2 linked regions of the Caenorhabditis elegans genome follow. The protein of the gene in region 2 purifies or fractionates together with the protein of the main gene of each other region. This does not show direct contact. Each region holds a gene or a part of one and is shown on either strand. Other genes may lie near its edges.

What was found.
Region 1: the proteins of pept-1 (region 2) and C25H3.14 fractionate together in Caenorhabditis elegans (co-fractionation; one large-scale study listed by BioGRID). This does not show direct contact.

The regions. Positions count from the first base shown.
Region 1 is NC_003280.10:5,693,558-5,696,883, reverse strand, and holds C25H3.14 (Acyl-coenzyme A thioesterase 13), read right to left. Parts: upstream 1,502-3,326; 5' UTR 1,491-1,501; coding exon 1,216-1,490; intron 838-1,215; coding exon 753-837; intron 698-752; coding exon 626-697; 3' UTR 526-625; downstream 1-525. Other genes in the region: C25H3.10 (F-box domain-containing protein), read left to right, coding at 1-190; C25H3.3 (Acyl-coenzyme A thioesterase 13), read right to left, coding at 2,145-2,231, 2,274-2,358, 2,404-2,678; eif-2D (SUI1 domain-containing protein), read right to left, coding at 3,122-3,295.
Region 2 is NC_003284.9:6,455,076-6,462,294, forward strand, and holds pept-1 (Peptide transporter family 1), read left to right. Parts: upstream 1-1,796; 5' UTR 1,797-1,957; coding exon 1,958-2,000; intron 2,001-2,628; coding exon 2,629-2,784; intron 2,785-3,210; coding exon 3,211-3,352; intron 3,353-3,395; coding exon 3,396-3,485; intron 3,486-3,698; coding exon 3,699-3,889; intron 3,890-3,936; coding exon 3,937-4,014; intron 4,015-4,061; coding exon 4,062-4,144; intron 4,145-4,202; coding exon 4,203-4,458; intron 4,459-4,707; coding exon 4,708-4,852; intron 4,853-4,906; coding exon 4,907-4,988; intron 4,989-5,033; coding exon 5,034-5,156; intron 5,157-5,337; coding exon 5,338-5,603; intron 5,604-5,654; coding exon 5,655-6,174; intron 6,175-6,233; coding exon 6,234-6,566; 3' UTR 6,567-6,692; downstream 6,693-7,219. Other genes in the region: Zinc metalloproteinase nas-33, read right to left, coding at 1-59; K04E7.1 (Serpentine Receptor, class BC (Class B-like)), read left to right, coding at 6,954-7,068. UniProt on the Caenorhabditis elegans protein: Low-affinity peptide transporter that is necessary for proton-dependent uptake of di- or tripeptides, and to a minor extent tetrapeptides, in the intestine. Transport is independent of sodium and chloride ions.

The sequences.
Region 1 (3,326 bases), on a different chromosome or scaffold from region 2:
TCCAATTCCCGAATTATTGATTTTACTGAAAAATGAGAGTTGCCAGAAAACACCAACGACGTGGAAAGTGTCTCGGGATCTAGACGAAGGAAAAGAGGAACTTGAAATTGGATTCTTCAAAAGTACAAACTTCTCGAAACAGCCATCATTGGTTATAAGGCAATTGAAAATTTTAGAATATTTGTGGTGAATTTTGGTATCTTGTTTTGGAATAAGTTTTCATGATAAACAATGTGTATAAAAAAAGTGATCGAAGGCGATTATGATTTCTTTTTTTTTTCTTGCCTCCAACATAACCGCAGCAAGATATGTTCGGAATTTTTTAATGGAATTTTTTATAAGACTTCTTTCTATGATTTGCATCCAAAAAATATGAATTTTGAGCTTCTTCGTCACTTTTGGTATTTCACTGAGCATCAACTCAGAGCGTTGGCGTGTGATACGGAGCCTTTAAAACACATTATCCTTACAACAAATGATCTCTCACTTCCGATATTTGTGTTTTTTAATGGCAAACAAACACATATATTGATAAAGATATTTATTTTCTGAAATGAAATGGAATACATGGTAAAATAATTCTAGTTTAATTTGCATATAACATTATTTATTTTATGGTGAGCGATCACTTTGGGAACGCCTTGGTGTGGACTCCAGTAGCAATCATTGCATTGTCCCTTTTACGATAGAGTTCTGCCTGAAATAAAACACTTTTGTAATCAGAAATATTCAAGAATAAAAAAATATGATACCTTAGTGAATCCAAGAGAGCGCCCCTGTTTGATGACAGTAGAGTTGAGTACAAGAGTTTCTCCGATGTTTGCAGCTGTCAAGTATCTGGAAGTTACGATGATCATAAATATTTTCTCCTGAATTTCTGGCATTATTAGTTTACGAAAATGAACGATTATAAAGCTAAAATATAGGTATGGGGGTACTAGAATGAGCGAAACTTTTCAGTTACCGTACTCGTGAGTACGGTAGATTTCTCTTTTTTGTTGGTTTTGCAATAAATCTGTAGTTTTAAATTAAAGGTTGGAATGGAAAAATTAGAAAACATTAGAAAAAGTTCGTTGGTACCGTAGCTGAGAACATTTCGGTCGTGGTGGGACCCCACACTGAATTTTGGCTTAAATATTGCACTTGTTCGCAAGACTTATATGTTTCAAATCATTGCATAATCTAGGAAACCTCTATTTAGATATAGATACTCACGTAATATGCAAATCCACTGAAACACCAGGCCTCGCTTCCTTTGTGAGTAGAAGAGCACCAGTTGTGAAACAATCGATAAGTGCTGCTGTACATCCACCATGAAGTGTCTCGAATTGATTTGTCTGATCCTTTTCAACTTCGAATTCCACTCGTAGATTTCCTTCCTCCGCATGAACTGCTCTCACATTCCGTGCTCCAGCCGCATAACCGAATTGTCCTTTTGTCCCGAACATTTTGATCACTTCCTTCGCAATTTGCATGTATTTTGATGCCATTTTCAAGCAATCTTAGAAAAAATATATGATTTAAAAATATTTGTTTCAAAACAAAAATCTCATAACCACGTAGACTTGCGTGGATTCTCTTACCATCAAAACATGTACAGAGTACTCGGATTAAAACGAGTATTTATGGAAAATTGGAAAAAAAACAAGAATTCTTTACAATTTTATTGCGGAATAATAGTTTTGTACACAAGGGAAATGTTTTTCAAAACGATCAAATTAGAAATTGTGTCTAGGAATTATGTTTAGGAGGTATTCCAGACACGAAATTTTGCGATTTTTGGGCAGAAATCACGGTAGCCGGTCTCGACACGAAAACTTTTTTTATAACGGGAAAAGGTGTGTGCGCCATTAAAGTTTACTGGAAATTCCAACTCTTGATTTTTTTTCGCGATTTTCTGAAAAAAAAAAGTTTTAATTGATGTATGGGAGTTTTAAAATAAATTAATAAATGTTTTTTTTATCGAAAATTGATGGGAAATTGTTGAAAAATCAATGAAATTTCAACAACAACGAGAGTCTAAAATTACAGTACTCATCAAAGAAGCACACCTTTTTTCATTTAACCAAAACATTTTGTGTCGAGACCGGATACCGTATTTTTGGCGCACGGATCGCAAATTTCCATGTCTTGGAATATATTGATTAGTTTGCTTTCTTCACAGTTGGGAATGCTTTGGTATGTACTCCAGTTGCAATCATTACATTATCACTTTTACGGTAGAGTTCTGCCTGGAAAAAAATAATATTTTTAAAACTTTTCTTAAAGTTTACCTTTGTGAATGCAAGAGTTTTTCCTTGTTTGATGACGGTGGAGTCGAGCACAAGGGTCTCACCAATTTTAGCGGCGGTCAGGTATCTAAAAATCTATCAAATTCGACAATTTTCTTCTCTCTTTACGTACGTAACATGCAAATCAACAGATACTCCTGGCCTAGCTGGTTTTGTGAGAAGAAGAGCCCCAGTAGTGAAAATATCAATGAGCGTAGATGTACATCCACCGTGAAGAGTGTTAAAATGGTTTGACTGATCTTTCTCAACTTCAAATTCCACTCGTAGATTTCCTTCCTCCGCATGAACTGCTCTCACATTTCCTGCTCCGGAAACACATCCGAATTGACCCTTGGTTCCATAATTTTTGATGATTTCCTTCGCCAATTGCATGTATTTTGAAGGCATTTTGATTTAATCTGAAAATGGATTAACATCTTAAAAATTTAGAACAATTTATCCCCCAGACGCGAAATCTTGGGTCCAAAATGCGGCACCAGGTCTCGACACTTACAGTACTCTTTAAAGGCACACCCTCGTTTTTATCTCACAAAAAAAGCGTGGCGAGACCTAATACCTTTTTTTTCTGCCCGAAAATCGAAAATGTTCGCGTATGTGTAATATTTAAATTGGCACTGATAATTCACCAAGCGGATATGTTCAAAACGATAAGAGAAAGTTCTTCATGAATCTTTATGGAACCGAAAATACGAATACAACCCATACTTAGAAACACACGGGTATTTAATAAATAAAGAAAGACCGAATTTCAAAACAAAAAAATTAAGGTGTGAGGGAATACATTGAACAGATTTAATACTATTTGAATTTGCAAATTTCTCCAAATTTTCTTATTTCTTCTTTTTCACCGCCAACTCGGTTCCTTTCATAAATTTCTTGTCGATTCCATACGATTTTATCAGAAGATCAGCGATAAAATGAATTTGATTTCCTTGAACGAGTACTTGAGGACCTTCGACGCCAGGAACTTCCCATTGACTTGTAACACTAGTAGCCACACCAGTCTGAAAATTCAGAAATTAGTATTTAAGGATT
Region 2 (7,219 bases):
AAATCAGGTTGCGTCAGACAAGTAACAAACTGTGATATCAGTATGCTTACAAATAACATTTTGCTCTCGGCGGCAAGTATATGCCAAGTTTAATCAAAATGAAAGACCAAGTAAAAAAATTTACAGCATGAACTAGTTCAGGGTTTAATCGGTAATAACAACACAAATTTGGTACGCGGGAAGACCTGTAAGGTGTTTGCATCGTTTTGTCTCATTCGGCCAATCAAATATAAAGGTCGTAGAAGTTTTAATTGGGGGAATCTTTGAGAGTGAAAAGAAGATGAAATTACGCGTGGCCTCAAAAAGTTTTTTTTTGATGGCAAGATGATTGGTGAACACAAACATTTGACTATCAGTGGATGTTACTTTGAAATATTATAAAAACTCAGCAAATGGCAATTTTCAAGATCATACCATGCAGAAGATCAAGACAGAAATCTGGGGATGAATCAGACAAAGTCGCCGAATTGATCCAAATTATGTTTCGCTGAACTTCAACTATTTTTTCTTGTGTTCTTAATCAGGGTTCCCAGAAAAATGATGGTCTAGACTCACGTACTAAGTTTATAGCATTCAAGTTTTGCATGTGTATTGTAGAAATAGACTTCTAACGTTTTAATGATAGACTACAAAAAAGGGTGGAAAATCTGGATATGGGTACTGTGTTAATAATCAACGTATTATTATTACTGTAGCTTTTGTCAATTCTACACTTTGCCTATCTACACATTGTATCTACACATCTACACATTGCAATTGCTTGCAAACGCCTTTTCATAAAACTGAAACGCAATTTTTTGTTAAAATTAAAAAAATTCTTAGGAAATATAGCAAATTCCTTGAAAGGTAAACACGTATTACTTGAAAATATTTCATTAATTGACACCAAACATTACATATGGATTATTGTCGTCAGTGGAAATTTTGTCCGAAAATTTTTATTGCAATCCAGATCATCATAAAACAGTCTAAATTTTCAAAGTTTTTTTTGAAAAAAAAATCATTAAACGTATGTTATCAAGTTTATACATAGTTTAGGCTCCTTGATAAATTAAGAGTAGTGTCGCTGTACAATGTTCCAGTACAAGTGTATAAGATTTAATTAGAATATTATTTTTTTAAATTTCTATTATTTTTCAAATCGACTACCAATTTTATGTGAGCAAAGCTGATTAATCACAACTTTTTGGCTGCAAATGAAAATACTTCAAAATTTATTTATTTAACATTATAGAAGTGGTTCCATACATTTTAACTACATTCGCTACTCACCATTTATGGTGCCTTGTTTTAAAAACACTCATTAACCCGTTTTCATATGTATTTTCAGCGTCTCGTTATGTTTACTGTGTGTTATAATTAACAATTCAATTTTTTGAATGGTGTTGTAAGATTTTAAAGATTTTGAACAAGAAAACAGAATAACCTTCCCCTAAATCATTTTTCATCATAAATCACGCCGACATGATATTCAGTCGGCTCATATCACCATTTTACACCCTTTTCAACTTTGTGCCTTTCTTGTCATGCTTTTCTCTTTACCCTCCACTCAATTTTTCTTTTTCTCTTCAGAAACAGTACATCTTAATAGGTGATAACATTGAATTACAGACAACCCGCATCAAAACTTGGTCTCCAACAGTGACACGTACTCTCATTCCTTTGCTCGCCTTCTGCGCTATCCGATTAGTGGAGCATGTAATGTACGAAAACGCTTACAAGAGGTGGTGGAAAAAGAAAGTGGAAATGATAAAATTTATGAGTGAAATATTTAAGCGAGTAGGAGAAGCACTATTAAGAACAGTGCGGTTCAACTTGATAAAGAGACGCAGCAAGAAATTGGTGAGGACACAGTCATCGAGCCAACGCACCTATTGCCCACCTCCATACTCCTCCTTCTTCTTCATTTCTTGCCTCAAATACCGCGACAGGCTCATTCCTCGTCAGTATCGCCACTATGGGCTACTCGGAGAGTCGCTCGGAGAGCGTTAGCTCGAAAGGTAACTGATTCATCATATAAAAGTTCAATAAAGCATAATACATTTATTAAGACGGTTAAGCCTGAATATTATACCACCCATGTAGTTTAATTTTTAAGATATTGTAACATTACACAGTATTTGAATGTTTTAATAGTTTGTTCAATTGTATTTCTCTCGAAATATGATTCGCATGTGGTCAATCATCCAGTCGCAGATTTTAAAGATCCACTTTCCAGTTAAGGCTGGGGTACCCCTCACGTTTTATACTCGTGACCCCTAGTTGCTAGCGACTACCATTAACAACTGGGCTCCTGTTGAAAACTGTAATCCAATAATTTTGTATTACTTATGAGTAACAAGAACCCTCAACTAATAAATCTAATATTAATGCAGATTTTGCAACACACTGTACGGAACAAAATAACTTACCTCCAGCATACCGAAACATCATTTCCAGATTGTTTTATTGTTTTGTAAAATACAATTCTTCTTAACAGCCGCTAAAACTAGTGATAATGGCATTTATCTAAAATTAGATGGATTATAACTAATCTTGCCGCGTGGGAAATTTTATCTATCAAAAAAAAAGGCGACAAGAGTAAATTTCAGAGTTTTTGATCGAAAATCGACAGAACGAGTTTTTCAGGCAAAACATCATACGGCCATGAACTCGAAACAGTACCACTACCGGAAAAGAAAATCTACACAACATGGCCTGATATGATCAGGCATTGGCCTAAAACAACACTGTGCATCGTGTCCAACGAATTCTGCGAACGATTCTCATACTATGGAATGAGAAGTGAGTTGCTTTATTTGTTAGGGTAAAAGTGTAAAGGATATAATAGATCCTTTAAACAGCCTTAAACATTTCTGATGTATCAATAATCTACAAAAAATATTTTTATTTGTACATATATTTTTAGTTTAGTTTAAGAGGTAAGGTGAAGAAAAAGTAGAGTTAAACCTTATTTTGATTTTCGGCCGGTGGGTGGACATTTTCAGATAAGGGTATTATCAACATTTACTTTAAGTACATGGTACTCAAAAAGTGAATTTCCTATCTACATGCCAGTATATTTAAAAATCGAAAGTTTTGACACATGAAATGCAAATAAGACATTTTTTCACCGATATCACTAAAAGGTCATAATCCGGTTATTACCATAATGATTATGACGTTGGCAGTACAGAAGATCAATTGAAACGTGACACGAAAAATTTGCAGCGGTCTTGACATTCTACCTGCTTAACGTACTAAAGTTCACCGACTCACAATCTACGATCTTCTTCAATGGATTTACTGTGCTTTGCTATACCACACCACTTCTCGGATCAATTGTTGCGGACGGATACATTGGAAAATTCTGGTATGTAATAATTGTTGTTTTGCACTCAATAACGACTTTTCAGGACAATCTTCTCTGTCTCAATTCTATACGCAATCGGACAAGTCGTGCTCGCTCTCGCTTCTACTAAGAATTTTCAATCTTCAGTTCACCCGTAAGTGATGCTTGTTCCAGTATTCGACGCATAAACTTATCATGCAACTTTTCCGTCTTTACGAATTCCTCTCGATTGAAACAAGGCATGATGATAAGAACTTCAACCGTGGCAACTTTTGCCCGACAGTGCACGCGCCACATTAAACATTAAAAAACTGAAACCGAACAAAATTAAAAAGGGTTCACAAGAAATAAACTGCTGAATTTTCAGATGGATGGATCTGTCTGGATTACTGATCATTGCGTTCGGTACCGGAGGAATCAAGCCATGTGTGTCTGCATTCGGAGGAGATCAATTCGAGTTAGGACAAGAAAGAATGCTCTCACTCTTCTTTTCCATGTTCTACTTTTCCATCAACGCAGGATCTATGATCTCTACTTTCATCTCTCCCATCTTCAGATGTAAACTTGACAATTCTTAAAACACTATTAGAGTACAATAATTTCAGCTCAACCATGCCTTGGACAAGATTCCTGCTACCCAATGGCTTTTGGTATTCCGGCTATTCTTATGATTGTTGCAACACGTGAGATAAAATATTCAAAAATCACATTGACTATTAAACTCTTACAGTGGTATTTATGGGAGGTTCATTTTGGTACAAGAAGAACCCACCAAAGGACAACGTGTTCGGAGAAGTATCTCGTCTTATGTTTGTAAGTTTTTGTTTTGTTTTATTTCTAAACTGCTTTGAAACCAAGATTAAATATTCAGAGAGCTGTTGGAAACAAAATGAAGTCAGGATCCACACCAAAGGAACACTGGCTCCTTCACTACCTTACTACTCACGACTGTGCTCTTGATGCAAAATGCCTCGAACTCCAAGCTGAGAAAAGAAACAAGAATCTGTGCCAAAAGAAAAAATTCATCGATGATGTCCGTTCCCTACTCCGTGTTCTTGTCATGTTCTTGCCAGTACCAATGTTCTGGGCACTTTACGATCAGCAAGGATCTGTCTGGCTCATTCAAGGTTTGTAAAGTTCTAGATAACAATTTAAAAATGATCAAATTGGGGAGTCAGCTGCAGAATTCCTTGTGGTGCACCCACTGGGTTTTAGCTTAAGCTACAATCAAGCCGGGGGGCTAAGTCAGCCGTTGATTAATCTAATTCCCAGCGTTGGCTTAGTGAACCTAGGAGTGCAATTTTGTGATTGCTAGCGACCACCACTACCGACTGAGACATCCCCGCTCTTCACATGTTAAAAATGTGTTTTTTCAGCTATTCAAATGGATTGTCGTCTTTCTGACACCCTTCTCCTTCTTCCGGATCAAATGCAGACATTGAACGCCGTGCTTATTCTTCTCTTTATCCCACTCTTTCAGGTCATCATCTACCCAGTCGCTGCCAAGTGTGTCCGACTTACGTGAGTTTTCATTGAAATAAAATTATTTGTGTATAATGAATTATTATATTTTAGACCTTTGAGAAAAATGGTCACTGGAGGGCTTCTCGCGTCACTTGCCTTTTTGATCACTGGATTTGTTCAACTTCAAGTCAATGTAATTTCAAATAAAATTGTTCCATAATTTATTAATTCTTTACAGACTACTCTTCCAACTCTCCCGGAAGAAGGAGAAGCATCAATTAGTTTCTGGAACCAGTTTGAAACTGATTGCACCATTACCGTTATGTCTGGAATTCACAAGAGAGTTCTTCCCCATGACAAGGTTTGAGATTCGAATTTGATTCTTTTCACTTTTAACTTTCTCCTCCTAAGTTCTAAACGAAAGATCATGCCATTTTAAGTGCTGATAAGAAAAAAGGAAGTCAGAAAAAGTTATCGTAAAATTATTTAATTTATTGCCTTTGTCATGAATTACTATACGTATTTACACAACAACGTTTCAGTATCTTCACGAAGATAAAAAGAACAAGTCTGGAATTTATAATCTTTTTACAACAAAATCCCCCGCAAAAGGTAATGGCGATTGGACTCTCACATATGACCTCAGCTATGACGGCGCTTGCGGAGATACATCAAAATTGGAGAAAACTGTTAAAGTGACTGCCAAGAGCAAGAAGATCATCTACGTTGGAGTCGGATCATTTGGATATTACCAAAACACAGCTAACACTGATAAGCCAACTGATGGAACTGGAGAATTCTCTATGGGGTAGGGGTGTTCATAACACGGAACAATGGTTAAATAATATATAAATTCCAGAATTGTCACTGTATTCAATTCTTCATACGGAGGAAACTTTGCCATGTGCCGTCAAAATACAAGCGACTTTGATGTTAACCATCCATGTAATCCAAGACATCCTGCTGACTTTTACTTCTGGGAAACCGATTATAATAGTCATACCGATGACAGAGATCAAAACGCTACAATTACTGGATCTCTTAGTTCCCAACCGGCTGTAACTTACAAGCAGAAATCTGTAAAGCCAGGATATTGGCAGTTGTACTACCTTTTGAATACACCAAAAGATGTAGACCGGCAGACTTACAACAAAACAGCAACACTCGTTGCTCCAACAAATTACGGTTTTCACAGAGTTAAGCAGGGAGGTGTGTTCATCTATGCATTGACCGGAACATACGAAAATCCAAAGATCCACGAGCTTCAAATTGTACAGTCCAATAGTGTGTCGATTCTTTGGCAGATTCCACAAATCGTTGTCATCACGGCAGCAGAAATTTTGTTCTCAATTACCGGATACGAATTTGCATATTCTCAGGTAATGTTAATAGTTAAAATTTATAATTTATAATGCTATTCTAACTGTAAATATTACAGTCTGCCCCATCAATGAAAGCTCTGGTACAAGCCCTCTGGCTCTTGACCACTGCTGCTGGAGATTCCATCATTGTAGTCATCACAATCCTTAACTTATTTGAAAATATGGCCGTCGAATTCTTTGTCTATGCTGCTGCGATGTTTGTAGTTATTGCCATCTTTGCTCTTCTCTCCATTTTCTATTATACTTACAATTATTATACAACTGATGAAGAGGACGGTGAAATTGGAGTTGATGATGAGGAAGAAATTGAGGATCACAATCCACGATATTCAATTGATAACAAAGGTTTCCATCCGGACGAAAAAGATACTTTCGATATGCATTTTTAATTAAATCCTAATATGTATAAATTTTCAATTTTGTTTTCCTAAACCTACTACTGTTGCTTTCCCTTATTGTGACATCGTGATAAAATTCGTTTTCACTTGAAAAAATAAATATTTCTAAAAACTTTGTTCATGTCCACTCTCACAACAACAGCCGAACTGCATCTTGATTCTGTCGTTTTGCGACCAAACACATTTCTTATTCCATTGCAAAAGTCTCTGAACTCAAAAATAGGAGCCAAATTTGAAAGTTGGCATGCGACGACCGGATGAGTATATCCGGTCTAAAGCTTTGTAAGCTAGTGGAGGACGGACAATAGCTTGTTGCCGGGGGCTCTCTCATTATCTGCTTTTTTTTGGATTTGCTCACGACACACTGGGCGACTAAATATGACGGATGAATTAACATCACCTTCTCTCAAATCTGGAAATGTTCTGGCTCTACTTAACACACTTTACACTTCCGGATTTGCAATGGCGTCCTCCAGCACTCCATTGCTCAAAGGTTTGACTCTTGGGCAAATAATTTTTTGTCATTTTAATTTTTTCACTTATAGGCAGAGTAGCAAGTTTTATTATCACGGTAATAGTCTTCAAACATTTTAATTAATCAATTAAATTTGATGAATTAAAACATTTCAGGGCGTTTTAAAATT